Linked DNA regions of Cricetulus griseus. The protein of the gene in region 2 purifies or fractionates together with the protein of the main gene of each other region. This does not show direct contact. Links are inferred from orthologs where the notes say so. Each region holds a gene or a part of one and is shown on either strand. Other genes may lie near its edges.

Region 1 (4,168 bases), on a different chromosome or scaffold from region 2:
AAGCTGTCTCTGGACTAGACTTAGAAGACAGTAATGGCAACTCTACTTCTGAACTTCCAGAAGAACCCAACAAGGGCACCTCAATCTCTGAGCTGCTCTGAGAAGCTGAGACTGAAGAACCTTCCAAAGCACTCTTTTTAGGTGATCCACTCTGCTGTCTGGAATCAGTGGATTGGGTCACATGACTATTCATACTGGATTTCAACAACGAAGAAACAAACGATGCTGAGCCATGTTTATCTGGAGCTTCTGGGTCAGAAGCTTTTCCAGCCCCAGCTGTTGTTACCTGAGAGGAATTGCTGCTGCTTTGGCTGCACACAGATCTATCTCCTTCACTTGTGGAGCTGCTCCGAGCTGAGGCCCCACTACTCTCTGATTTGGTGGATGACCCAGAGGATGCGGAACTGTTTTCCTGCTGAGCTGAGGAACGATCTGTTTTGGCAGATTTCTTTCCATGATCTCGCTCAACTGCAGAATTGTTTTTTCCTTCTATGGCTCGTTTTTTGGATGGCTCTTCTATCCCTTCTAGAAAGAAGAAAAACACAGGTATTTCACTAGAAGACCCACATACATGTCAATCAACAAAACATTCATTAAGAAAGCACAAGGAGGAGCTGGCCAGTGGTGGGACAAGATTGTATCCCAGCACTCGGGAGGCAGAGCCAATTGAGTCTCTGAGTTTGAGGCCAGCCTGGTCTAGAGTGAGTTCCAGGACAGCCAGGGCTGTGACATAGAGAAACCCTTCCCCCCTCCCCCCCCAAAGACAGGGTTTTTCTGTGTAGCTTTGAAGCCTGTCCTGGAACTACCAGCTCTTAGAGACCAGACTCGTCTGGAACTCACAAAGATCCAATTACCTCTGCCTCCTGAGTGCTAGGATTAAAGGCATGTGCCATCACTGTCCATCAAGAAACCTTGTCATAAAAAACCAAAATAAAATAAAAGTAATAAAAGGACACAGAAAAATATTTCAGGATTAGCTTCTTTTAAAATATGGAATAACTTCATGAGAAGCTGAGACTGAAGAAGCTTCCAAAGCACTCTTTTTAAGTGATCCACTCTGCTGTTTGGAATCAGTGGATTGGGTCACATGACTATTCATACTGGATTTCAACAACGAAAACACAGAAAAATATTTCAGGACTAGCTTCTTTTAAAATATGGAATAACTTCATGAATATCTTTTTTTTTTTTTTTTCCTCTTCGAAACAGGGTTTCTCTGTGGCTTTGGAGGCTGTCCTGGAACTAGCCCTTGTAGACCAGGTTGGTCTCCAGCTCACAGAAATCTGCCAGCCTCTGCCTCCCAAGTGCTGGGATTAAAGGTGTCCGCCACCACTGCCCAGTTCTTCATGAGTATCTTAAACACAGTATTAACATGATTAATTTCTAATATTAACAGCATCAGACATTGGACTTTAAAATCTAAAGCAAAGGAAACTAAAGAATTCAGCACTGAAAACAAGACAGACAGACATTTAGCTTTATCATGTCAATTAGATTAATACATTATACAAATTCCGGCTTGTTAAAAATTAGTAATGACAGCAATTCCTAATTACAGCAAGCTTATTTTCTAAACTCCTATGTATGTTCACATCTATGATCTGCTAACCATTGCTACTCGATATCCCTCTTTTCTTCACCTTGGCAACCAGTTCGTCTCGTGTGGTATGGATTGGAGCATCTGTCACTTTGATGCCTTCAGCCATACTAAGAATTTTATCCATAACTTTTTGAGGGTACCTGAAAAAGAGAAGCAAAAGTCGCTTTCAAGAAGTGTTTGTCGGAACGCCCGGCAGTGCGTTCAGAGATGCGGGCCCACGGAAACTGCATTTCCTGGTGGCACCAACCGCGCGACAACTTTGTTTGCTGAGATGCCACAAATACCGTGGGGCTCGGGAGGCGGGTCTGTGCTCGCGAACCCTCAAACTGAGGGTCTCCCCGGTACCGCCAAGCTGAACGCTAACAACTCCAGCTGCCGGGCTCACCCAACCCGGGTACCCGCCAACAGTTAGGTCGGCGCTGCCATGGGCGCCTTCCGAGGACCAACAGTGCCACCGATTCCCGCGCTTCCGACCCGCCCTCGCCAGCCACTCTGGTCCCCGCCAGGGCTCCTCGGGCAGCAGCAGGGGAGCCCGGTAAGGCTGGCTGGCGACGGTTGCTCACTCACCGACACCCTAGGAAGACATGGTTGGCCCAGGCCATGGAGAAGGAGACGAGTTGCTGTAGTTGCCGATTGCGGCTCCCACTTTCCGCGTCCGCCGCCTCCCCGGGCGTCGCGGGGACCAGGTCCCCAGCATTACGGAGCAGAAACTCGCGGCGGTGGCGCCAGTGTTTGTCCGTCTCGCCCTCGCAGCGCAGCGTCTCCACCCAGGCTGCCACTCGCGGGTTCTGGCTCAGGTACTCCGACACCTCCTGCGCCATGTTGGGCCTGCGGGACGGGGAGAGCGCGAGCGCACGGAGCGAAGGGCGGCCAAGTGGCGGGGCGCGGCGCGGCGCGGCGGGGCGGCGAGCGGTCCTGTCAGCACGGCCTGCACCGGCGGCTCTCCGGAGAACGCCCCTCCGGCGGCCCAAACCCCAAACAACAGAGCACGGCGCCGACGAACCGCCCACTTCCGGCGACCGCGGGCCCGCTCCCTTTTATAACCTCGCCGCCGCCGCGCGCTCACGCGTCCTTCCGGCGCGGGCCCCTCCTCCCAGGATGCCTTGCGGCGCCGAGACGCGCGCGACTCAGCGGTTGCGCCCACCTCGGAGAGAGGGCGCGCCCGGCCGGCCGAGGCGGGGCTGAGGCGACTCTGCCTCCCGCCACCCTGAGAGGCCGCGCGGCGCCTTGTGCCGCAGCCTCGGCGTTCCGGCGGCGCTTTGTGACGCCGCGCTCAGTGTCCGCCCGGGGCTGGGGATAGTGGGCGGGGCGGGGCGTCGCGGCCGGGCGTCGTCGGAGACGCGGCTCCGCCCTCAGACGCTCGTCCCGGCGCACGCGGCCAAAATAAACAAAAGCTGGACGGGCTGCTCAGTGCAGTGGGAACTGAACCGAGGCTTCCGAGATCCGGGCGAGGCGAGCCTCGGGGCGTTTGGGGACGCGGGGATGCCTGTGGGACCCGGACGTTAAAAAAAAAATAACAAGCATGTGTGTGACTTTGAAAAGCGACCAGCACAAGCCACTCCTCAAGCGGTCTTTGAAGCCAGGCCTCGCGCTTGCGCCGCAGGCTCTGGGCTTGGTTTCCGCGGTTTCCTAGGTTCCGGGGTCCACCCAGACAATACCCGCTTCCTCTAACGTTTTTGACGCAAAAGCTATAAACAACTCCGTACCAACAGGTCCTGTAGCTGCATTCTTTGTGGAAATGAACTGTTAATGTCAGTTGGGCCAAAGTGGAAATGGACCTGTTTATCTCGTCCGCCCGGCCTCAGGACAACCGTGCTTTTGTATTTTTTTCCTTTCTAATGTATGTGTGTGGATGTTTTGCTTGCATGTACGACTGTTCATCATATGCGTGTTGGATGCCCTTGGAGGCAGGAGGGCAATGGAGGTCCTGGAGCTGAAGTGACAGGGCATTTGGAGCGCTATGTGGGTGTTGGGAATTGAACCCAGGTCTTCTGTGTGTACTGCTGGGTGTGTGTGATCTCTCCAGCCCATTTTGTGTGTGTGTGTGTGTGTGTGTGTGTGTGTGTGTGTGTGTGTGTGTGTGTGTGTGTGTGTACTGCTGAGCCATCTCTCCAGCCCATGGGGTGTGTGTGCCATGGGTGTGTGTGTGTGTGTGTGTGTGTGTGTGTGTGTGTGTGTGTGTGTGTGTGTAACTTTAGATGGTCACAGTGGAAAGTCCCGACAATTCTGGCTTGTTAATATTTCCAAGTCCAGGTGTCTGTCTAATATTAATGAAATCAAAGCATGAGTGTTAACAATATGTAATAGTGATAAATTATGAAATTGAATTTTCCTTCACTAGATATTTGAGTTTTTTTTGTGAAAATGCTTGTCAGAAAAATCAAGCAAAATGAAGTAATTTTGTTTTGAAACTCGGGTAGCCATGAGCCTGTGCCCCAACACTGTTCAGCCTATTAAGTAAAAAAGCCAAATGAGTGGTGGGAAGCAGGAAATGACTTTCAGGATGGCCACATTGGAAAGAGGGACAAAGATTCCCAGTGACATCCACCCCACCTCCAAGCGGATCTT
Region 2 (2,509 bases):
AGGGTACTAGTAGGAGATGAAATAAAACCAGGGAACACTGAGGTTATTAGAAAAAGATCACTGCCCTTTTAGTTTAGAGGTCATTTTGAGGAGACTGTTAGCTTTTAAAGATAAGGATGCTGCACTGCAGGATCATGTATGCAGCATGATACATTAGAATCGCGCTGCACTTGACTAAGGGAAAAAATCCCTAAGTAACATTTAAATACGTGTTATCTGCCAGTCACAAAGAAGAAAAGCACCTAGGGTGAACTCCAATTTACCAGGACCTTGATCAGGACCACAAAGCCTGAGTCTTGTAATGCAGTAACACAGCCTCTAGTCACACTGGTTTAGAGAAAGTAATGGGTTCTATGTTCTTCTGACTCTAACTGAATTTTAGAACATGGTTTTACTAAGGACTTTTATCTTCATACCAGTGTTAAAACTGAACTACTTCCAAGAGACATAAAACCAAAGAGAAGCAGAAGCCATACACATTAATCTGTGCTCCTCTCTTTCTGCTGTAAGGGAATCTGCCAAGCCAGTATCACATTTAAAAGTCAAATTGTTAATTCTTCAGCATTCCTGACAACTAGAAGCACATTCACTGAAGGCTGAAGGTGAGGGAGTGGATGGTTTAACTTTAATATCTGAAGAATGACTCCATTAGAGGAAAGAAAACCATCCTATCTCAATAAGGATTAATGCAAATTTGGCTAGAAAAAGCCACCGGGTACTCCAAGGGTTGGTTCACTGTGGAAGAACTCGAGAAGGTACTCTGATGTATGCACAAGTCTAAGTATCTCCCTTGTCCAAGTAGTTGTGTAAAATTCAAGATAAAGGTTTTAGTTTTATCTTTAATGTCATTTTCCCCACTTTACGGAATGAGGAAGAGTCCTCTTTTCCCCCACAAAAAAGGGAGCCACATTAATATGTGTATATCCCCATGACTCTAATATTAGTGCGGATCTCCAAAGCTTAGGGATTTTTCCATAAGAGAGTGGGCCATTCTGGTTACCCTTGTAATAAAAGGGTATTCCACCACAGAGAGCCAGAGGTTTTCCAGATGTGTGTAAAAGAGCAGGTGCGCAAGGCAAGCAAATGAGCGCAAACAGTATTATGGAAAACATTTGAGAAATTAGCTCCATGAGGACTGTGGGCTCCACAAGAGGACTTGACTGGGTAGCCTGGTCTGACACAGGAACAAGAAAGCAGAGGATTGCTTCAAAGCTGGAAACCTTCCATAGGAGCCTCACACTGCTGGAAGATGTACTGCTGCTGGCTAAGGTCAACCTGGGGTGTAATGCTGCTGTCCTCATCTTCGGTCCCAAAGTAATGCTCAATAAGATCAAAAGCCTTTTGATAGATCTCCTGGTTTTCATGACTCTGCAAAAACTCTATTTTATCCAGACCTAAAAAGAAGAATAAGAATCTTTTTGAAAATCCTAGTTAACTACATTTTCAAGTCTATTTCTTTGATATAAACATTCTCACATATCTTGTATGCTCATATAAAAATGATTACTACTATATCTGAATGCTAATATTATAAACCAACATCTTAGTAACAAGCTCTGTAACAGCCAGTATCACCCAGTACCTACTATATTCGTGTTTTTATATGCCTATGTCTATTTCCTAACTCCAAAGGCTGACCCAGTCTAAGTATCTCACCATATGCTTCTTCAATCAAAGCACAGTAAGGGTTAATGCCTGAGCCATTTCTTTTGGCTTCTTGCTCTCCAAGCCTCAGGATGTTCTCCAAGCCATTGAGGGCAACCTGTACAATCTTTGAGTCCATGACAGTGAGGAGATCACAAAGTGGCTTGATACAACCCAGTTCTACTAGGTACCTGGATAACAAACAACAATAAAACACAGTTTAGTCATACTTAACTTTGTTAGGTTTTTATCTGTGAGGCATCTTCAAGCTTGTTGTAGAAATAAAAATAAACTGTAACTATGGCACTTTAGGGAGGAAAGAGTTTATTTGTCTTAGAAATTCCGAAACCAAGGCAGGAACTCAAGCAGGGCAACAGACTACTTACCAGCCGACACTTGTTCAGCTACCTTTCTTACACTACCTCCCAGGACCAGCTGCCAGGATGACACCAGCCACAATAGGCTGGGCCCTCACCTACCAATCATTAATCAAGAAAATGCCACACAGGCTTGCCTACAAAACAGAGTAATGAAGGCATTTTCTCAACTAGCTTAGGTCAAGCTGACAGGAAAAATAACTAGCACAATAGGAGTGGGGGCACATGTCTTTATCTTACAATTTAGGAGGCTGAGGCAGGTGAATCTGGCAGCTGGAGGCCACACTAGTCTACCTATGGAGTTGCAGGCCAGCCAAGGCTAACAAAGTGAGATCCTGCCTCAAAATAATAACAATTTTACTACATTTATCGACTGACTGGTCGATTGATTAGGGGCATGTATGCCATAGTATGCAAGTGGAAGACAGACAAAATGTGTGAAAGCTGACACTGTACTTGCACAAAGTAAGTGCCTAGAACTCAAAAAT
Region 3 (4,067 bases), on a different chromosome or scaffold from region 2:
GTATGCCCCCTGCTTATGTGATAACTCAGTTCATCTTGACAACTCAGTCACCAAGATGGCTTCAGCACATGGCTAGTTCATAAGTCCAAAACATTTCCATCCTTCAGTCATATATTTATAATTCAAATATCATATATTTACTCACTACTTACTTAACTTTAGCAAAAATCTAGTAATAGACCCTTTTATTTAAAATAATGAGAATTCTTTTCCAAAAGGCCCGTTAGCAAGGATAAAAAACAAACACTTCTGGAAACAGAAAGATGGCTCTGTGGTTAGGAACATGTGTTGCTCTTCCAGAGGACCTCGTTTCCCTTCCCAGTACCCACACAGTGGCTCACAACCACCGGTAACTCCAGTTCCAGGAGATCTGATCTCGTCCTCTGGCCTCTGGCCTCTGTAGGCACTGCATCCATGTGAGACACAGATGTACATTCAGGCACAACAATCACACACATAAAACAAAACTTAAAAAAAAACCTCTTACTTCTATCACAGTTTTCTATTGCTTGGGCGGCTTGTGATGGTTTTAAATATCGCACGTAGCCCAGACCTTTACTTTCTCCAGTGACTTTATTTTTAATAATGCTGCAATACTCGATGTCACCATACACCTACAAGAGTTAAAGCCAAATTTTAGGACAAAACCACTTGGAGGAAAAACCTTTCCGTGAATGAGTACAATGTCAACATAGCACAGGCCATGGTAAGTATTAGTCAACATAGCTTACCTGCTCCAGCCTGACTCAGGCCTGCGACTCACTCTACAGAGAGGCAAGAGAAATGAGAACCAAGAAGTGCTTTGAGATTTTTAAAGACCCAGGGCAGGTTCTGGGGGCACAGCAGGTTTAAATCTTGGCACCACCACCTATTAGCTGTGTGGTTTTAATGAAAACACCCTGGCTTTGTACTTTACTTTCTCAGCCTATACTTTAGGATGAAGTCTGGGCAGAGGGGACACTCGCTACTACTGCGAGTTGTTAGTAACTGTACAGTGTTGAAAATGGAGTTGTGATAAGAACACACACACCTTAAATTTCTCCCGTAGGTCTTCCTCTGTATAGGACTTTGGTATCATAACGAAGATTCTTGTGAGTTCTTCATCTTCAACATCTCTGTGACTTCCTGATGATCGGGACTGAGCAATGAAAACCTAAGAAACATACAAAGCCCTCAGAATAATGTTAACTGTACTCCTATACTGTACTCCCTGCACTCAGGAAGTCAGGCAAGCAGATCTTAAGTTCAAAGCCAGCATAGTCTACATGGGAAGACCCTGTTCCCCCCAAAAGAAGATACTATAAAACAAAAACAAACCAAAATGCAACTAACAACTGGGGTATTAGTATAAATGACTAAGTCAATCTAGTCGATGCATCAGGAATTAAGTATCCAAAGGAAGACACAAGAGAGGCTCCAAGAAAATGCAAACATTAGAGGAAAAAAAGGGGCCACGGGGAAAATGAGATCAGAGGAGCCATCAGATCATAGATGTCTAAATTTTAGAGTTTAAACTGTTTACAATCTTTGATAAAGGCTTGGATCTACACAAGACATGAATCACTACTTGTTCGCCTTGTTTTCACACGGTTTAACTCCTTCCCTATCTGATACACAGCATCCTGGTGCAGAAGTGGGAGAGACTCCAACCCAGCCAATTCTTGTAAAACCAACGCCAGAACTCCCCCAACCCCTGAAACGTTTGCCCCTCTCTAGTTTGTAGCATAGCTTGTCACAAAATAATTTTACTTTGATAATCTTGTGAGTACAGGCTGGTACTGTAATATCCCTTGAACTTTGTAAAAATAAAATACTTGAGAAAAAAAAAAACACTAAAACTAAATTATCTAGTAGCAAAGGTTAATCAAAGTGTCCGAGAGAGGTGGGTCAGAAACGTTCTCCCAATAGACAGGAAGAGGTAGGGGTCAACTGAATTATGGTAAGTGACAGCCATGGATGGCTGCGCTGTCCTTGGCTGTGGCTACCCAATCTGTTCCCAGGGGAAGATGCTCCTTTGGCCACAGGGCGGGGTTCCTCTCCTCCTAGCCATTCCAGACCCATGCATGGGCGGGGTTCCTCTCCTCCTCTCCTCCTGGGAGAGCTCCTGGGAGCAGATTCCAACTCCTTTACTACCTGATACACATCATCCCGGGTGCAGCAAAGGTGCGGGAAGAGACCCTAACCCACACCGTCTTAGCCTCCGCTGACACCCCAACCCCTGGCACCTCTACCCGAGACAACCCCAACCCGGGCACCCTTATCCCAGACACTCTGACCCGGGCATCCCTACCCCAGCTACCCCAACCCGGGTACCGTCACCCAAGACCCCCCAAACCGAGCATCTCTACCTCACACACCCTAACGTAGGCACCCCAGTGCAGCACCTTGATGGGCTTGGTGTCATTGGGGCCAAGGCACTGTCCGTGCATCTCCTCCATAGCCCGGCAGGCCTGTGAGCTTCGGGCGAACTTGACGAAGGCGACGCCCTTGGACTCCTTGGTGTGTTTGTCGCGCACCACCCAGATGTCCTGGATGTCTCCAAAGGGCGAGAAGCGCTCCCTCAGCACCGATTCGGACGTGTACTTGCTGATCACCAGGAAGATGCGGCTGTTGGGCGGCTCGTCCAGGCTGTCCACGCCGGGGCGGAAGCCTCCGCTGCCCGCGGAGCTGCTGGAGTCCTCCATGGTGCTCCACCTTGGGGAGGGAGCCAGGCGCGGGGCTCCGCCGGCTCAGTCAGCCCGGCCGCCAACCAGCCGGCCGCCGCGGCCGCGGGTCCACAGCTCCGCTTCCGGAAAGCCCAGAGCCCGGAGGCAGGTGCTGTCCCACAGAGAGCGAGGCTGGCTTCCGGGAGCATTCCGCAGCGCCCCCTGGCGCCGCGGGGGACTCTGAGCAGTCCCAAATCTCAGTCCCATGGAAACCAAGAATCAGTTTGTGCAAGCTAGGTTGCCCTGTTGCCAAAAAGACCCACCTGCCAGATGCTCAAGCCTTCCCAAAGCTGGTTTCTGGCTTCTTCTAAGCCCAGAATGTGTTGTTACAAAACGATTACTCTTCACCCTTTTAAAAGATAAACTGGATGATGCGGTGACACATGCCTGTTATCCCAGTCTGTCAGATTGCTACATTGGAGGCCTCACGGGCTACATAGTGAGTTCGAGGCCAGCATCTGGGCAACACTCTATTTTCAAAAAGAAAACAAACAACAACAAAAACACCAAACCAAAAATAAATAAAAAATTGGCAGACTTCACTCTTAAGGGTTCATGGTGACAGGAACAAAGGGCCAGTGCAATGGCTCTTGGAGCAAAGGAGAGATACTGGACTTGGTTCCCGTAAGAGAAGTGAATATTTATGACAGGGTAGTATGAAAGTCATTAAATGAAAAATTACTGAAATGGGAGGGGATAAGAGGGACTCTTGATAGATCTGCTTCACAGAATTCATGTTGCAGGCAGGCCAGAGTGACAGATATTAATAGCAGTGAGGCGTCACTGCCCTGATTTATCAGAGACATGGAAGTTTGGAAAAGTCAAACAGAAGACTTGGGGGAGTTTGAAGTTTTGATGACAACAGGGAGTCCTTGTCACCATTTTGACCATAAGCTCAATTTAGAGTCACTATAGACAGAATTTGTGGCGGTTTGAATAGAAATGACCCCCATAGGCTCTTATGTTTGAATGTTTGGTCATTAAGGAGTGCTGCTATTGGAGAGGAGGTGTAGCCTTATCTGAGTGGATGTGGCCTTGTTGGAGGAAGTATGTCACTTGGGGTGGGCTTTGGGAGTTTCAGAAGCCCAAGCCATATCTACTTGTCTGCAGCCATGCTTCCCACCATGATGACAATGGACAAACCCTCTGAAACAATAAGCAAGACCCAATTAAATGCTTTCTTTTATAAGAGTTGCCATGGTCATGGTGTCTCTTTACAGCAATGCAAACCTGACTAAGACAGTTAAAACTATAGAGCCTGACAGCTGAAAGGAGCCTGTAAGGCATGAGATCCTAGCCTCATTCTTTAGAGATGAGGAATCTTAGGCCCAAAGTTAAGAGGCTCAAGTAACAGAACCAGGC
Region 4 (4,293 bases), on a different chromosome or scaffold from region 2:
ACCAGCCAGTACTCTTAATTCCTGAGCCATCTTTCCAGCTCAGAACTGGGTTTCTTATTAGATCTGAGTTGTAGGCTTATTTTTATTTTATGTGTACAGGTGTTTTTCCTACATATGGATACCTCTATGCATACCTGGTGCCTTCCGAGGTGGAAGAAGGAATGGTAGCAGTTGGAAGCTACCATGTGAACAAGTGCTCTTGACTACTGAGCATCACTCCAACCCCAGATCCCAGATGTAGTAACAAACTTACCAGTGCACCTGAATAGACCTAATCAGATCCTGGTTCTCTGTCCCCAGTACAAAAATGTTTATTTAAAGGCTAAAAATCAGGAACAACAAATGCCATCTTCTCTACTTGGGTGTAACTTTGGCAATCATTATTCCAATGAGCAGAAATGGAACCATAACATCCCTTTTAGAGACCAGGAAGCCAAGGTCTAGAAAAAAAATGACTTGCATTAATAGGTCACACCCTCAGTATGGTGGGGTGTCTTGATTCTTAAGCCTTTTTTTTTTTTTTTTATTTTGCGTTGTTTGTTTTTTGTTTTGGTTTTTCTGTGTAGCCCTAGCTGTCCAGGAACTCACTCTGTAGATCAGCCTGGCCTCGAACTCAGATATCTGTGCCTGCAAACCCTGGGATTAAAAGTGAATGCTGCAACCAAAGGTGTGTGAAACCACCCTCCGGTTCATTTGTTTTTGAGATAGCATTTCATTATTTAGTCCTGGCTGACCAGAAACTTGCTTTGTAGATCAGATAGGCCTCAAACTCAGAGACCCATCTGCCTCTGCCTCCGGAGTGTCAGGATTATAGAACTGAACTAAAGGCGTGCACTATCACGCCAGGCACCTCTTAAGCCTTTGGATTCCAGTCTTATCCAGGGCTAAGAGAGCTCAGCAAGAGGCCTTGTACATCCAGTGTCAGAAACCCAGTTCTTCCGCCAGAATACGCCACTACACTGTCTTGGGACTCCTGTTTGCAAATTTGGATTCTAAAACAATACAACCCAGTTTACAAGTTTTCCAAGGAGAAAGTAAACTGGGCACTTTATAATCCGCCCATATAGCGGGCAGTGGTGGCCCACTTGGGATGCAGAGGCAGGTGGATCTCCGAGTTCAAGGTCAGCCTGGTCTACAAAGGGAGTTCCAGGACAGCCAGAGCTACAGAGAAACCCCGTCTTAAAAAGCCAAAAACATAAATAAAAATAAACTGTCTATATAAACCTGTTACTACACCATGGCAATGTCCCGCAATTCTCCAAATTGGAGGCGAAAGGATGCGGGAAGAGGCCCACATTTGCACCTAAGGCTTATGAGAAACTGCTTGTTTTGATTTGTTTTGCCCTGCTCGACAGAGTCCCACCTGCAGCCATCCTCCTACCTCGGCCTCCAAAGGCTGGGAATTACAGGTATCAGTCACCATGCCCTGCTGATGGACAGCTTTTTAACTTTGAGTTATTCCAGAATCTTCTAAAAAGCTCTAGAAAACTTCTAGTTCTCCCAGCGATAATAACCCTTACAGAAACAATGTTTCCTCCACCTCGCTCTCGGCTGAAGTCGGCAGAAACCCGCAAACCCGCCACAGAAAAGAACAGGGCTCAGGCACGGGTAGCTCTGCACGGTGACTGCGAAGGCCGGGCAGACCGGCGCCTTTGCTAGGGCGTCAAGGGACCACCGTAGCGCCGGTCCCTTGTCCCTCGTCTTCAAGCAGCCGCGAACCGGCGAGCCCCAGGCGCCGTCACCGCCCGCCGCGGCCCAAGCTTCCGACCCAGGAACCTGGCGGGAACCGCAAGGGAACCCGACGGCGGGGGGCTCGAAGGCGACGCCTCCGGGGGCCCCTCCCAGCCCGCGAGTCTTCCCGACGACCGCACACGGCACTGCGCGGCTCGCACGAGCCACGGGCTTGCGTAGAGAGGTCCGCGCGCCACGAGGATCGCGGCCGGCGCCGTCGGGTCCCGGGATTCCGCCGCCGCCCGGGCCCGGCGCCGGCGCCGGCCCGGCGCGCGCCGCCCGCGAGTGGGCACCGCCGGAGGGAGCGCAGGGTGCAGATCGGCCCGAGACCCACGCCCCGGGCCGCGGCCGGCCGAATGGCGGCACCGCGGGAAAGTTACACCAACTTCGCAGGTGGCGAAGGCCCGGGGGTCGCGCCCACGCCGCCCGCCCCCGCGAGGCCGGGCCGCCAGACTGCGGGGACGCCGAGGGGCTGAGCCCCCGCGCGCCCGGGAAAATGCCCCTAGAAACTTAAGCCCTTCGCCATTTTAAGCACAAGAAGCCTGGCGATTTAAAACTTAAAATAAACACCCCGCCCCCACCGCGAGTGGGGGCGCGTTTCCCAGTCCGCCCCGCGCACCCACCGGGACCACCGAAGCCCACCCCTCGCGACACAGGGCGGGAGGGGAAGGTGGGGGCTGAGTCATCTCACCTCCTCCGGGGCTCTGTTCTTCAACTCCAGGTTAATCTTCTTCTTCATCTCCATGTCCTCCTCCTTTCCCCTCGCCTGCCCTCCCCACTGCCCCCAACCCTAAAACACCCCTAAAGGTCTGGAGATGAATGAAAAGAGACGCAAAGACGAACGCCCACTACCACCCGGGTGTGGGGGAGAAAGAAAAGAATAGCAAATGGAGTCCGACGACTTGGGACTAACTCGGCTGCCCCCACCTTCTAGTCCACACACCCGCGCGCGCACACACGGGCACGCACACACATTCACACAGAGAGAGAGAGAGAGAGACACGCGCGCGCCCGCCCGCAGTTCCTTCCCCTTCAATGGCTGCTGCGAGACTGAGCCTCCATGACACGGCACCGCCAACCCCCTGGCCTACGCTCCACCCACCTCCCGACTGCATTGGCCGAGCCTTTAGCGTCGCGCCACTCCATTGGCTTAGAGGACTGCCCATCCGTCGTTAGGGGGGCCCCGGACCAGAAACTCGGGGTCTATTGGCTCTGAGCAAGCGCGCAGTTAATTCCGATAGGTCCGGGAGGATGTACGTCCCGGAGAAACGATTTTGAATCCCAGTCGCCCCCCTCCTTTTCTTTGTGTGATTGGCGCGCTTTCCCTCGCTAGTGGGACGGTTTGGCTGTCTATTGAATTTGTTTTTGTTTGTTTGAGGGCTTTCTGGCTTCGGGGTTAGAGGAAGGGAAAGGGCGTCGCTGGCGTCCCCAGGGTGTAAGCGGGTCGGTCATCCAGCGCACCGCACTCCAGAGCTTTCGGTAGTCTTAAAGCACAAGCTCCCTGCTATGCGGCTTACCCAGTGAGCCAGGGACTCAACGCAAGAGCAGCGAGTTCGGGACACCTCCCCGTCTCGAACGGCCCTGGCGTTCACCAGAGCGTGATAAAGAAGGTATTTTAACTTCCACTGTCAAAGGCGAAACGACTCTGGAAGCAGTTGAGTTTAGCACGTTGAGTCAGAAACCTTTAAATAAAACTGTCCTGTGGGAGTTGATACTGAGGTCATTTGTCGCTGGCAAATAGTTGGGACCTTGGAGGAAAAGCAGCACGGGCCTAAAGAAAACACAATTTCCAATTTCCCATTTCCCTTTGGTAAGTTTCCTGCAGAAATCTACTTAAAGTGTTCTTTTAAAGTGTATGTGAGGCACTGAAGAGACGATGTCCTCTTGCAGAGGACCCTGGTTCTGTACCCACATGAGGGCTCCCAATCATCCATAACTACAGTTCCAGGGAATTCAATAGCCTCTTTTGACCTTCACAGGCTCCAGGGCCAGATGTGCGTGTGCATACATTAAAGCAAAACACTCAAATACATTTTAAAAAGAAAGTCTACTTAATGTTTCTGTAATTCGAAGCATAATGGTACACACGAAGCATAATGGTCACAGACCTCCGAAGGGAGAGGCAGGCAGAACTGCCTGGTATACAAAGTGAGTTCTAGGCCAGCCTCTATCTCAAAACAAAAACTGAAAACCTAAGTAAGAAATGAGTACTGAGCCGGGCGTTGGTAGTGCACGCCTTTAATCCCAGCACTCGGGAGGCAGAGGCAGGCAGATCTCTGTGAGTTCGAGGCCAGCCTGGTCTACAGAGAGAGTGCCAGGATAGGAAAGCTACACAGAGAAACCTTGTCTCGAAAAACCAAAAAAAAATGTAAAATAAAATGAAAGATAGAGTGCTGGGATTAAAGGCGTGTGCCAACATCGCCAAGCTTCTTTACACTTGTTTACTTATTTTGCGATGTATAGGAAGTCAGAGGACAGCCTGCAGGAGTCAAGTGCTTTCCTTCCACTGAGCTAGTTCCTGGGTTCAAACTCAAGCTGTCGGGTTTGGCAGCAAGCACCTTT
Region 5 (4,071 bases), on a different chromosome or scaffold from region 2:
ATAATGGATTCTGTAAATACTAAAGATATATAAATACATAAAATGTGAATCCAGTGCAGTCTCTCAGGGCAATACTGGCACCAAGGTGCCTCCTTTTCACACAGAAAAAGTTACCTTGTGGCAACCATCTAACAAAGAAAAAAAAAATCTTCAAGCACTAAATGGTAAACTATATATCATACACATCCATTTGGCATCCCATAAATTTATCTTGGCATGTCTATGTAAGATGTTTGTAATAGTAGGATAAAGTATCCACAGGTATCAACACCCATTGTCAATCTTCCCAAGCAAGAACAAGTGCAGGAACTCCTACCAGGCTAATCTTGATCTCTATCAATGACCCATTGCCCCCAACTCCCTTTAACCAAGTTAAGAAATTAAGGCTCTTAGAAGCTTAGCAAGTCTTGAGTTTACTTAAAACTTTATGCCCAACAGTACAGACTGCAAATGACTATAACACCATCAACTTTAAAATTCTCTCTATTAAAAGAGTCACATTTCTAACATGTTCAGAATTCTACTACTGCAACCAACTCTAACTGGTTCCTTGAGGAATATGGCTAAGCTGAAATTTTGGAAGGGTACATTTTGGTGGTGACCAAGGAGGAAGTATCTGGCTTCCCTGATGCTTCAGCACCCACCCTCCAAAATGATATACCCACCGGTGTGAATTGACAATGTAGTCCAAAGAGCAAGGCAGGGAACGGAGTCCAGATCCTCAAAATGGCAGTACAGGGAATAACCACTAGGCCACCTATCAGCTCAGTACAAAAAGTGCAACCCTGTGCATCACGGTGTAAAAGCTGGGGCCTAGGTTTCGTACTGTGCATCTCACACCTATGGAAATAACAACAGGAGTAAAATCTACGGAAATCCACACACCCTAAGAAAGTGGTGCACACCAAGCCTGGTGTCAACACTTGCAAAGGCAGTTGGCTACCGACAGAACACACTGCTGGAAGACTGAAGTTGGAAGGCAACAAAAATTTGCAATCAACTCTATTAAGTTTGACAATGAAGAACTCAATAAGGATCTGATGTTTACCAACAAAGCCTTGCAAATCATGACACCCATTTCTCATGGCTATGAAAATCACCACCCCATAAAAACCTCTTAAAAAAATGACTTTTCACTCTCAAAAGAGCTGGAGAGATTTGGACTGACCAGTGATACCCCAAGCCCATTACTTTCAGATTTAAAACACCCCCTTTACCATCTGGCCTAGGAAAGAGATGTTGACGCATCCAAACCTGAAGGTTGAGAAAGGGAACCTATGACCTAAGGATGTGCATGAAGGTGACTGATCAGCAACCAAAGTCTGAGGGTGAACAGTTTGGAACAAGTAAAAACTTTCCAAACGATGATGTGGCTTTCTTAAATAAAAATCTCTCTGTAGGCTCACTTCATCCTTCGCCATGTTGCTGTCAGCTCAACTAAGTGCAAGTCTTGCTGGACCCATTTTCGATTGGTCTGTAGAAGGCGCTGTTAAGCACATCCTGTTCCAGTTCTGGGGCCCTTCCCCCCTCTGCAGCCTTACCCAGTGCAGAGAATGCGCCCCCTACTGACTCCAACACTCATTGCCTTTAACCGAGTTGGCTGCGGTGCATTTTGGGTGGGGGCTGGTATTTTCTTCATGGCCATAAACCAGAAGCAACAATGCAGATTTATAAAGAAACTGCACAAAGCTATCCAAGAGACAGGCCCCCCCCCCATCCTGAAGGTTCAAGACACAGGCACAAGAAGCATCAGGGATGGGAACTGGGCGTTTGGGGTTGGACAGTATTAAAATGGCTAACACAGGAAACAGTTTGGTTCTTTTTCCCTCCTAAGCCTTTGTCTGTGAAATGGGGTTATGACAAGAACTGTCCAGAGGAACTGGTTGGTGACTGAAGAACACTGAGAAGACACTTGCGGTGTGTGGCAGGGAGTGAAGCTAAAACGGGTGTTAGACTTCAAAGCCCGATCTTGGACACAAGAGGAAGAGAAGCAATCGCGCCTTTTCTACCAGACAGGCATCCAGGTGGTGGGGTGGGGTGGGTGGGTGGCTGAGGACGAGGACAGGCAGCCCAGAGGAAAGAAGAGGTGAATGAGAGGGTGCTCACAACTACTCCCCATTCATTGCATTCGACAAAAAGCTTTTCGCGGCTTTCTGGATTTCCATTTTCTGACTGCAAAGTTGAGTATCAGAAAGCTCTAAAGGGTAGTGCTGAGCAGGCAGCCGGGAGCGAGAGCCGGGCTGGCGAAGGGCTGGCTGTGCTTGTTGGGATGGGAGGGAAGCAGGCATGTTGTCGGGGTGGCAAAGACTTTCCCTCCGTGCCATGCACTCCCCGCCCCCCAGGCCGCTCCCCTCCCCCGCAGCCTAGGGTGGGCAGACCTGGCAGAAGGCTGGTTCCGGGGACCGAGGGCGGGCGTGGGGGGAGGGGGCGAGGGATGAGTTTGGGGGCCGAGAGAGCGGGGTCCTGTTGGGGGCGGGGTGGGTGCGGGAAGATGCCACCAGCCTGCCGGCCGGCCGGCGGGCTCTCGGGGCGGAGAGGGGTCGGGCTGCAGGAGGTGGAGGGCAGAGGCCGGTGGAGGGCAGTGTGCGCGCGGAGCACGAGGACCGCGCCCGGGACCGGAGGCCGGCAGGGCCGGGCCGGGCCGGGCAGGGCAGGGCCGCGGGCTTACCTTGGCTCGGCCTCGAGGCGTGCGCGGGGCCGGCGTGCTCCGAGGCCCGGCGGCGAGCGGGCGGCGGCACGGCGATGGCGGCGAGGACGCGCCCGGGGCCTCGTCGCGCTCGGGCTCCGGCTCCGGCTCGAGCCGCGGCCGCGGCTGCTGCCGGGGGCGCGGCGGGCGCAGCAGAGCGGCGGGCGGCGGCGCGGGCAGTGCAGACAAAGGAGGGGCGGAGGGCGGCGGAGGGCGTGGGGCCGCGGCTTCACCGTCGCGGGCCGGCGGGCGGCACAGCCGCGCGGCTCCTCGGCGGCGGGGACCGAGAGAGGGAGCTGTGTCTGAGGAGACGCCAAATCCCCCCGAGCGCGGCGCGGCGGCGGCGCGGAGGGGGAGGGGGCCAAGATGGCGGCGGCCGGGGGCGGGCGCTCAGCTCATGGTCCCGGCGGCGGCGGCGGGTGGACGGGCCGGCGGCGCGGCGGCGGCGGGCGGGGGAGGGGGCTGGTCCCGCGTCTCCCCTCAGCAGACAATACAAGCGCCTCAGAGCGAGTCCCCGAACCTGCCCTAGCCAAAATGGCGGCCGAGAAAGAGCGGAAGTGACGTAAGCCCCTCATTAGCATAAGAGGACTCATTGTCCAGCTCCTGGGGGGGCGGGGGGCCAGGCCCCCTGCACCGGGACCCTCGGGGGACCGCTCTCCGGCCGCGCGCCGCGCCGACCCCCACTGCTCCCGCCGGAGGGTGCCTTCAGCACCCCCAACCTAGCCTGGGGAGATTATATAACCCCCACTCTGGGGAGCTCTCGCGAGAACTTGGAGGCTTCCCCATTGAGCCGCTAGGAGGCGCCGTGGATAATGGCCGCAGTGCGCTCCTGGGTGCCTTCCCTTCCCTTCCCTTCCCTTCCCCTGGCCGCAGCGCCGCCGGCGGAGGCACAAGCAGCGGGCCGCAGCACGCTCCGACAATCAGTCAGGTGGCTGTGCTGGGGATCCCTGCGCGGGCCCATCTGGGCCTGGACTACATCTGGAGGGAGGGTGCGCGGGCGGCCCCGAGGCTCCACGTGCTCACAGAGCGTGCTCTCACAGGCTGAGAGGCAAGGCGGAGGGCTGAGCCTGATGCCTCCAGCCTGAAGTGAGGTGTGATGCCCTCGTGCTTCACACATTCTCTTGAGATGACATGGCTCTGGGGCCATGTCAGCTCTTCTAGTGGGTTGCTGTGGGATAACAGGTGGACAAGGGCTCAGCTTTACAGTTCTGCTGTTTCTTGGACTCAAGACATTCTTCCAAGTCATCAGATGGCCATTTCTCCTTGACTTAAATAAGAAAAAGTGGGATTTGTAGAGTTGAGGCCATCGAACTCACGATGCTGAAAGATGAAAAGTTCTGGTGGTCCCCCAATTTCAGCATGACAATACATGGACTGTTGGCTTT
Region 6 (3,500 bases), on a different chromosome or scaffold from region 2:
GTCACCAGAGAAGCAGCTATACCTCTGGAAGCTGTAAAAAGAACTAATTCCTAACAAATGAGAACATTGTGATGCGTTTAAAATGGGGGAAAAAAATCACAAAAGAATGTCAAATATGGGTCTGATCAAGACACTAAAAATTGTGTCAGTATTTTACGTCAAACTATAAATGAAGATTCCAGAAATGAAAGACGGGGATTCTCACCGCAGAAGTTTCATCCAGAAGTTGCCTAAAGTGCTCCCTTTTCTTTTTGGTAAGTGCTTCAATGTGTTCATTAAAAAGCTTCTCTTTCTCCTCTCTCTCCAATAAGGACCCAGATTCCCAGCGGTGATCTTTCCGGAGGGTCCTCCTAGTATCAGACCATGACACATCGGAAGAACGTACCTAAAAACAAAGAACAATGTGTGTGTGTATGTGTATGTGTGTGTGTGTGTGTGTGTATTTGGTACATATACACAAACCCCACCAAGTGGACTCTGCATATTTACACATTAAGAAGCTCAACACTGTAGTCAGGAATGATTAACTTCATCTGGGCTTTACAAAGGTAGTCACATTTAAAAACTAAAAAACATTACCTGAAAAGCAATTGATCCATCCTTTCAACTAGACTACCTCAGAAATGAATCCTGTCTTAAAAGACCACATTAAGTACAACGTTCAGTAAGTGAATTTGTTCAGGTGATTAGCTTACCATCAAGTTAACCAAAAACTAAGCAATGGTACATTTCCAATAATTTAAGCAAGAAGGTTATGGAAGTACCATTTTAGTTAATAAGTCTCCTAAAACCTACTGTAGAACAGAAACTTTAACTCCTGCTGATCAATTACATGATAAAATACTCAGGCTGGGGTGGGGGGTAAAGATGATAATCACATCATCTTCCAGTCAGGACCACTAAGAAGTCTAAGTAGTACTTTGTCTCTAATTGTGTCAAGTAAAAGAAATGTTAAGTGTCTTTTATCACTAAATATCCACCCTCCAAAAAGCAGTACAACAAACCCTGAGCTCAAATCTGGACTTATTAACCCATCTACTAGAAGAAACATTTCTAACCCACAGCAAAAGGTCATAATATATAGAAATTAGTGAGCATGACAGTGCACATTCATAAACAGTAAGGGTAAAAAGAGTATGATTATCTCAATACATACAGAAAAACAACAAAATTCAATATTCTTTCATAACAAAAACACTTGAGTAGGAGCCAGCAAGATGGTTCAATAGGTAGGTGCTTACTTGCCAAGTTCAATGACTAGGGTCTAATCTCAGGAACACACATGGTAGGAGAGAATACACTCCTGAAAGTTGTTCTCCGAGGTCCACACGTGCTGCATGGCCCAAGGTCACACATGTACTTTTACAAAAATAAATGTAAATAGACTGGATATAGGGAGAATGTAATCCAGTACAATAAAGACCATCCATGAGGAGTTACAGATGATCATCTCCAAGAGTGAAAAGTTGAACATTTTTCCTCTAAGGCATGAGGTATTAGGAAATCTTCTCTCAAAATAGTTCTTTTAGAAGGCAAGAGGAAAAAGACATCTAAACAGGAAGTAAGAGTTTAAAATGACTCCAGTTGCTGATGACATGATACTACATACAGAAAAACCTGAAGATTCCACTACAACACTATTAGAAATGATAAATTTAGTAAAGTTAAGAGAATACAAAAACAACCATACAAATGTAAGATTTCACAAGTAACCAAAATGTAAAGTATAAGAAAATAGCATATGCAACAGCATCAAGGCCCTCCCAAAAAATAGTAGTATAAATTTAAGCAAGGAGTAAATAACTAACACTGACAAAAAAGAAAAACTTAATAAAGTACAAACAAGCTGAACGATATTCTGTACTCACTGATTAGAGAAACAGTTCTTAAATTCCTATGGAGTCACAAGATCTTAAAAGCCAAGACAATCTTGAGCGCAAAGAACAAAGACAGAAGCACCACAAACTCTCATTTCAAAATGTAATTATAATACTAACTTTGAAAAAAAAAAAAGATAAAGTAACAGCATCACAGTTTCAGTTGGTTCACCAACACCATCAATGGCACAGTACTATACACAATGACAGGAAATAGAATGAAAAGACAGAAAAAGAGGAAAGAAGAAAAGAATACAAATGTCTTTAGCATCTAAATTATGTGTTTGGCACCAGAACTACAACTAAGTAAAATAACAACTGTCATTTCTTTCAGAATTTGTATTTTCTATAGGGCAAATGTATTCAGTGTGACAGTGGTGTATGCTCAACACAAGGTGCTATAGGTAGGGGCACAGCCTTTAGGAGAGGTGTGTTTTGTCTGGTTAATTATAGTGTTTCCTCCTGCCTTTGCCTCCCAAGTGCTGGGGCTAAAGGCATGTGCCATCAACGCCCAGCCAGTATGCACTCTTCAAGAATAAGAGTGTGTCACTGCGGTGGGAAGGTGAAGGACTGTCACAGACAGAAGAGTGCTTCCCTATGTTAAAGAAAGCTGCACACCAAGGCCTGAGGAGAGCAAGTGTGATAGATAAGGAGCAGACAAGTCTACTTTATATAAGTAGCTGAACTAGCTAGGTATAGTATGGTGGTGCAAGCCTGTCAAGGCAAGAGGACCAGTGTCCAAGACCAGCCTGGGGCAACAAAGGAAAACCCTGTCTCAGAGAAAACCAACCAACAAAGGAACTGAATTTTAAAGCAAAATAAAAAACAATAGAGTTGAACTTGACTGGCAGGCAACGGCTGGGAGTATGGAAAGTCTTCACCTAGTCAAGTAACCAGGAGACACAATGAGGTTTGCTCTTCACAAAACCACTACAACTGCAATTAAAGCAAAAGACTCAGAGAATGGCAGGAAGGAAAGAGATTTCAAACTACAGAAAATGTCAAGGATGCAGAGCAAAAAAAAAAAAAAAAAAGCAGCAGAAGCAAGGAAGAAGTGAAGTGACAGTAGCAGGGAGAGTCCAGCTAGTACAGGAGACAGTATAGGAAAGACAATGACGGAAGAATGACACAACAGAGCAGCCCCAATAGTCAGTTTCCCTACATATCTCAACAACTCTAGGGCTAAGGCAGGACTTCCAAGAAAGTCGCAGAGTCATCTCTTGGGTCAGTACTCTCTAACACTGTATTTCACAGCATCCTTATCACAATGATCCTAAACTAGTGGTTCTCAACCTGTGGGTCTAGACCTTTTGGGGGTTCCTACATCAGATATCCTGAATATCAAATATTTGTATTGTAATTAGTAACAATAGCAAAATCACAGTTATCAAGTAGTAATGAAAATAATGTTATGTTTGGGGGTCACCACAGCATGAAGAACTGTATTAAAGGGTCGCAGAACTAGGAAGATGGAGAACCACTGGCCCTAAACCATCAAGAAAAAAGTCCAATTACACCCAGCACACTTTATTTCAATGGCAGGTATATAATAGTTTCAGATGGCTTTCACCAAAAACTATCTTAAAAATTAAGTTTTGAAGTATGAACTTTCATTTTAAAAAA
Region 7 (3,500 bases), on a different chromosome or scaffold from region 2:
GGATCCTAACATTAGTATATACTCAAATAAAAACTTTGCAAAACACTCACGACACATTCATAGTAAATATGACTGCTTCCTCACTTGTATTCTTTCCACCCTTATTCTTTGTACCCGAAAGATATAGCACACTCACCAGATCTAAGACCAGGGAGAACTCTGGTGTGCTTCTTGTTTTCAAAGGAAGAGCAGGTTTCCTATTTAGCTGTTCTTCTGTCAGTGGTGGAACATGCTTGATGAAATAATAGCTATAAATCAAATTTTAGGAAAATTTCAACATTTCTGTTTCATGTATTTCAAACACTACTAAACTTAAATTTTAATTAGCTTGGGATGTGGTCAGCTACACAATTCTTGCTATACAATACAATGTGCAAGACCTTGGGTTTAATCCCTACAGTACAGCTTGTCTTCATTATCTATCCCACTGGATTGTTAGATTGGCACAAAAGGAACTGCTATGTCACTCAATTTTAAATTGCTGTAACTAGACTCAAACACATCTTAATTGATCCCAGTAAGAACAATCAATATGTTTTCGACTACAAGGACTGTTTGCTTTTTTCTATCTTTCATCTCCTGAAGACCAAAGAAATAAATCTGTTTATTCCTATAGTGCTGCAGTTCTCAGCCTGTGGGATGTAACCCCTTTAGGGATCCAATGGCCATTTCACAGGGGTCACATATCAGATATTTATTTACATTATGATTTATAACAAGATTACAGCAATGCATTAATTTTATGGTAGGAGATCACCATGATGTGAGTAGTATTAGGAAGGTTGAGAACACTGCTCTAGTGTAAAACATCCAGGCTTCAGGATTCTGAATTCTCTGCATGCTGGTGTTTGCAGAAATGTTTACCCTGAAAAAAAGCTATTTTGAAGTCCTATGGAGATTTCAGCCTATCTGCTAGACTGCAGAGCAGGGATGTAATGCTTTTGTCGAGGCTCAGGAATCTGTGTGATCAGGTTTGGTGGCAACAGACAACCAAACCCTGACCATGACCTTTTTTTGGTGTGTTTGACTTTGGGGAGGGGCTCTGAAGCTTCTTCTCGTCCAGACCCTGGGTTCATCTGCCAGTTGTGGTATACAATAGACCTCTCTTTACCTGTCACAACTGACAGGGAAAATTCCTTGAAGCTTAAAATAAGGGAGGATATCGGCCTAATATAACATTTTTTTCTTTTCAGTCACTTCATAAGGCACCCGCTTATCAAACCTTTTTACGTTTCCAATTTATTTCTAATACCAAATGACCATTGAATATATAGTTACTTAGCAACTTCCTATATAACTGTAAGAGATTCATGAGCAATGATTGATCTCAATTGGTCTTTGTCAACTTCTGCTGTCCAGCCACTAGCTCCTTCTCGAGTCTCCATTGGAAAACATCATGAACCACCACTGCACTGTATGTTTACTAACAATTTCTAGGCCAAATATGCTACTGATAGAGCACATTTTGAACTCAAATAAGAAAATGGCTTGAGCTGGGTGGCACATGCCTTTAATCCCACCACTGAGGAAACAGGAGGATCTCTGTGACTTCAAGGCCACCCTGGTCTATAAAGCAAGTTACAGGACAGTGGGGCTACAGAAAGAAACCCTGTCACAAAGAAACTAAACAAACAAAAAAATAAAATGGCTTTAATTTGCTTTTTGTTTCGTATCATTTCCATAGTATAAAATAAACAGTATGGGCCGGACATAGTGGATCACACCTTTGATCCCAGCACTTGTGAATTTGAGGCCACCCTGGTCTACATTTCAAATTCCAGGCCAGCCAAAGCTACGTAGTGAGACCCACCTAAAAATAAAAAGCGTGTATTAATAAAGAAATGTACATTAAAATGATTTGTAGGATAACCTCATTTATTTAAGTATTCCAATATCAGATATATTTCAACATTGCAAAGATTGCAAATTACTTTTGTACCAATCTAACAGAATCACCTAGAAGACAGACATCTCTGTGTGTCTAAGGGTGTTTCCTAAGACATTTAAGCATGGGCAGCACTGTCCCATGGGCAAAGGAGAAAGCTAGCAGCACAGAACATTCACTACTCTGCTTTCTGATAGCAGACACAAAGTCATCAGCAGGGCTGGAGAGATGGCTCTGGCTGTTCTTCCAGAGGTCCTGAGTTCAATTCCCAGCAACCACATGGTGGCTCACAACCATCAGTAATGAGATCTGGTGCCCTCTTCTGGCCTGCAGGGATACATGTAGGCAGAACACTGTATACAAAATAAATAAATAAATCTTTAAAAAAAAGTCATCAGCAGCTGAATACCCCTATCTGCCACAGTTAGCAGGGTCTCACTGCCACAGTTCCTGCTATGAGGGACTGCATCCTTAACTTAAGATACTAACCAAAACATACCCTTCCTAAGTTGCTTCTTGTCAGTTACAGCAATGAAGCAGTAACTAATTCAACACTTCACCCAGTAAACTAAATTTTGAAAACACATAAGTAAAAGTATACAGATTAGTGTCTCCAAAACTCACTTATAAGTATTATACCCTACCTACAGGTCAAGCTCTTATCATGGGATTTATCTCCCATGTTTACAACAAAAATAATGTAAGTTTAAAAATGCATATGATATACCTAGACTAACAAATATAGTACTAACAGAATATAAAGCCTAAGTTAAACAATGCAGAACATCAGCTGTCTGCCCTCGTGAGAACACAGGATAAGTCAGAGATAGAGTTCTCTGCCCAACATGAAAGAGTACCCTGCTATGTACTGCCACTTAGGAAAAAGTTGAACTTCAAAATTCAAAGTACAGTTTCTACTGGACAAACATCATTTTTCAGTTCCATCATGAAGCTGAAAATCATTCAAGAAAGAAAATTCAAGAAAGAAAATTTAATAACTACAAAACAACTCACGGGTCAAATACTTCCCAGTCTTCCTCATAGGTGGCCTCTGCATGGGCTGAAGAGTAACCACTCTCTGGAGTTACTGGTGCTATTTAGTAAGAGGAAAAGAAGATTACATTCACTCATCAGAAGTTTCCGACAAAGTACACATTTTTACTGTCTTTATACAAGAGCTTCTTGAGGTCCTGTATATTTTAGATTAAAGATAAATAATTTATCAAGATTTAAGATTTAAAGACATTCAGTAAAACAGATTTAACTCTATATCCAAAAGAAATTACTACTATCAATGACATAGCAAACTACAAAATGGCTAGTAGAATTAAGATTTCTATCAGCTAATCGGAAATCTATTTATTATTACTGTCTAATAATTACTGTCATTTTCAGCAAGAAAAATGAGCATAAAATGAATGTGCTAGCTAGTTTTTTGTTAATTCAACAAGCTAGAGTCCTTTTAGAAGGGGAAACCCCAATTGAGAAAATGCCTCCATCAGAATGGCCTACAGGCAAATCTATGGGCATTTTCTTGATTAATGACTGGTATGGGAATGTCTAGTGTACTGTAGGTGGTGCCATCCCTGAGAAGTTTCATATAAAAAACAAAGCT

Evidence for each region.
Region 1: the proteins of importin subunit alpha-5 (region 2) and Cdkn2aip purify together in Homo sapiens (co-immunoprecipitation; 4 studies listed by BioGRID and IntAct, with this or other methods). This does not show direct contact. The link is inferred for Cricetulus griseus from reciprocal best matches to the Homo sapiens genes KPNA1 and CDKN2AIP.
Region 3: the proteins of importin subunit alpha-5 (region 2) and Rbm45 purify together in Homo sapiens (co-immunoprecipitation; 3 studies listed by BioGRID and IntAct, with this or other methods). This does not show direct contact. The link is inferred for Cricetulus griseus from reciprocal best matches to the Homo sapiens genes KPNA1 and RBM45.
Region 4: the proteins of importin subunit alpha-5 (region 2) and Anp32e purify together in Homo sapiens (affinity purification with mass spectrometry; 4 studies listed by BioGRID and IntAct, with this or other methods). This does not show direct contact. The link is inferred for Cricetulus griseus from reciprocal best matches to the Homo sapiens genes KPNA1 and ANP32E.
Region 5: the proteins of importin subunit alpha-5 (region 2) and Adnp purify together in Homo sapiens (co-immunoprecipitation; 3 studies listed by BioGRID and IntAct, with this or other methods). This does not show direct contact. The link is inferred for Cricetulus griseus from reciprocal best matches to the Homo sapiens genes KPNA1 and ADNP.
Region 6: the proteins of importin subunit alpha-5 (region 2) and Tcerg1 purify together in Homo sapiens (co-immunoprecipitation; 3 studies listed by BioGRID and IntAct, with this or other methods). This does not show direct contact. The link is inferred for Cricetulus griseus from reciprocal best matches to the Homo sapiens genes KPNA1 and TCERG1.
Region 7: the proteins of importin subunit alpha-5 (region 2) and Ctdspl2 purify together in Homo sapiens (affinity purification with mass spectrometry; 3 studies listed by BioGRID and IntAct, with this or other methods). This does not show direct contact. The link is inferred for Cricetulus griseus from reciprocal best matches to the Homo sapiens genes KPNA1 and CTDSPL2.

The regions. Positions count from the first base shown.
Region 1 is NW_023276807.1:39,004,121-39,008,288, reverse strand, and holds the start of Cdkn2aip (CDKN2A-interacting protein), read right to left. Parts: upstream 2,801-4,168; 5' UTR 2,422-2,800; coding exon 2,168-2,421; intron 1,741-2,167; coding exon 1,610-1,740; intron 526-1,609; coding exon 1-525. UniProt on the Homo sapiens protein: Regulates DNA damage response in a dose-dependent manner through a number of signaling pathways involved in cell proliferation, apoptosis and senescence.
Region 2 is NC_048597.1:53,639,384-53,641,892, forward strand, and holds part of importin subunit alpha-5, read right to left. Parts: intron 1,836-2,509; coding exon 1,657-1,835; intron 1,395-1,656; coding exon 1,207-1,394; 3' UTR 1-1,206. UniProt on the Homo sapiens protein: Functions in nuclear protein import as an adapter protein for nuclear receptor KPNB1. Binds specifically and directly to substrates containing either a simple or bipartite NLS motif.
Region 3 is NC_048599.1:98,661,896-98,665,962, forward strand, and holds the start of Rbm45 (RNA-binding protein 45), read right to left. Parts: upstream 2,801-4,067; 5' UTR 2,685-2,800; coding exon 2,349-2,684; intron 1,154-2,348; coding exon 1,031-1,153; intron 615-1,030; coding exon 488-614; intron 1-487. UniProt on the Homo sapiens protein: RNA-binding protein with binding specificity for poly(C). May play an important role in neural development.
Region 4 is NW_023276806.1:60,586,061-60,590,353, forward strand, and holds the start of Anp32e (acidic leucine-rich nuclear phosphoprotein 32 family member E), read right to left. Parts: upstream 2,801-4,293; 5' UTR 2,477-2,800; coding exon 2,423-2,476; intron 274-2,422; exon of another isoform or gene 254-273; intron 1-253. UniProt on the Homo sapiens protein: Histone chaperone that specifically mediates the genome-wide removal of histone H2A.Z/H2AZ1 from the nucleosome: removes H2A.Z/H2AZ1 from its normal sites of deposition, especially from enhancer and insulator regions.
Region 5 is NC_048599.1:11,176,957-11,181,027, reverse strand, and holds the start of Adnp (activity-dependent neuroprotector homeobox protein), read right to left. Parts: upstream 2,801-4,071; 5' UTR 2,669-2,800; intron 807-2,668; exon of another isoform or gene 666-806; intron 1-665.
Region 6 is NC_048595.1:195,373,784-195,377,283, forward strand, and holds part of Tcerg1 (transcription elongation regulator 1), read right to left. Parts: intron 386-3,500; coding exon 206-385; intron 1-205. UniProt on the Homo sapiens protein: Transcription factor that binds RNA polymerase II and inhibits the elongation of transcripts from target promoters. Regulates transcription elongation in a TATA box-dependent manner.
Region 7 is NC_048599.1:56,446,588-56,450,087, forward strand, and holds part of Ctdspl2 (CTD small phosphatase-like protein 2), read right to left. Parts: intron 2,979-3,500; coding exon 2,900-2,978; intron 249-2,899; coding exon 137-248; intron 1-136. UniProt on the Homo sapiens protein: Probable phosphatase.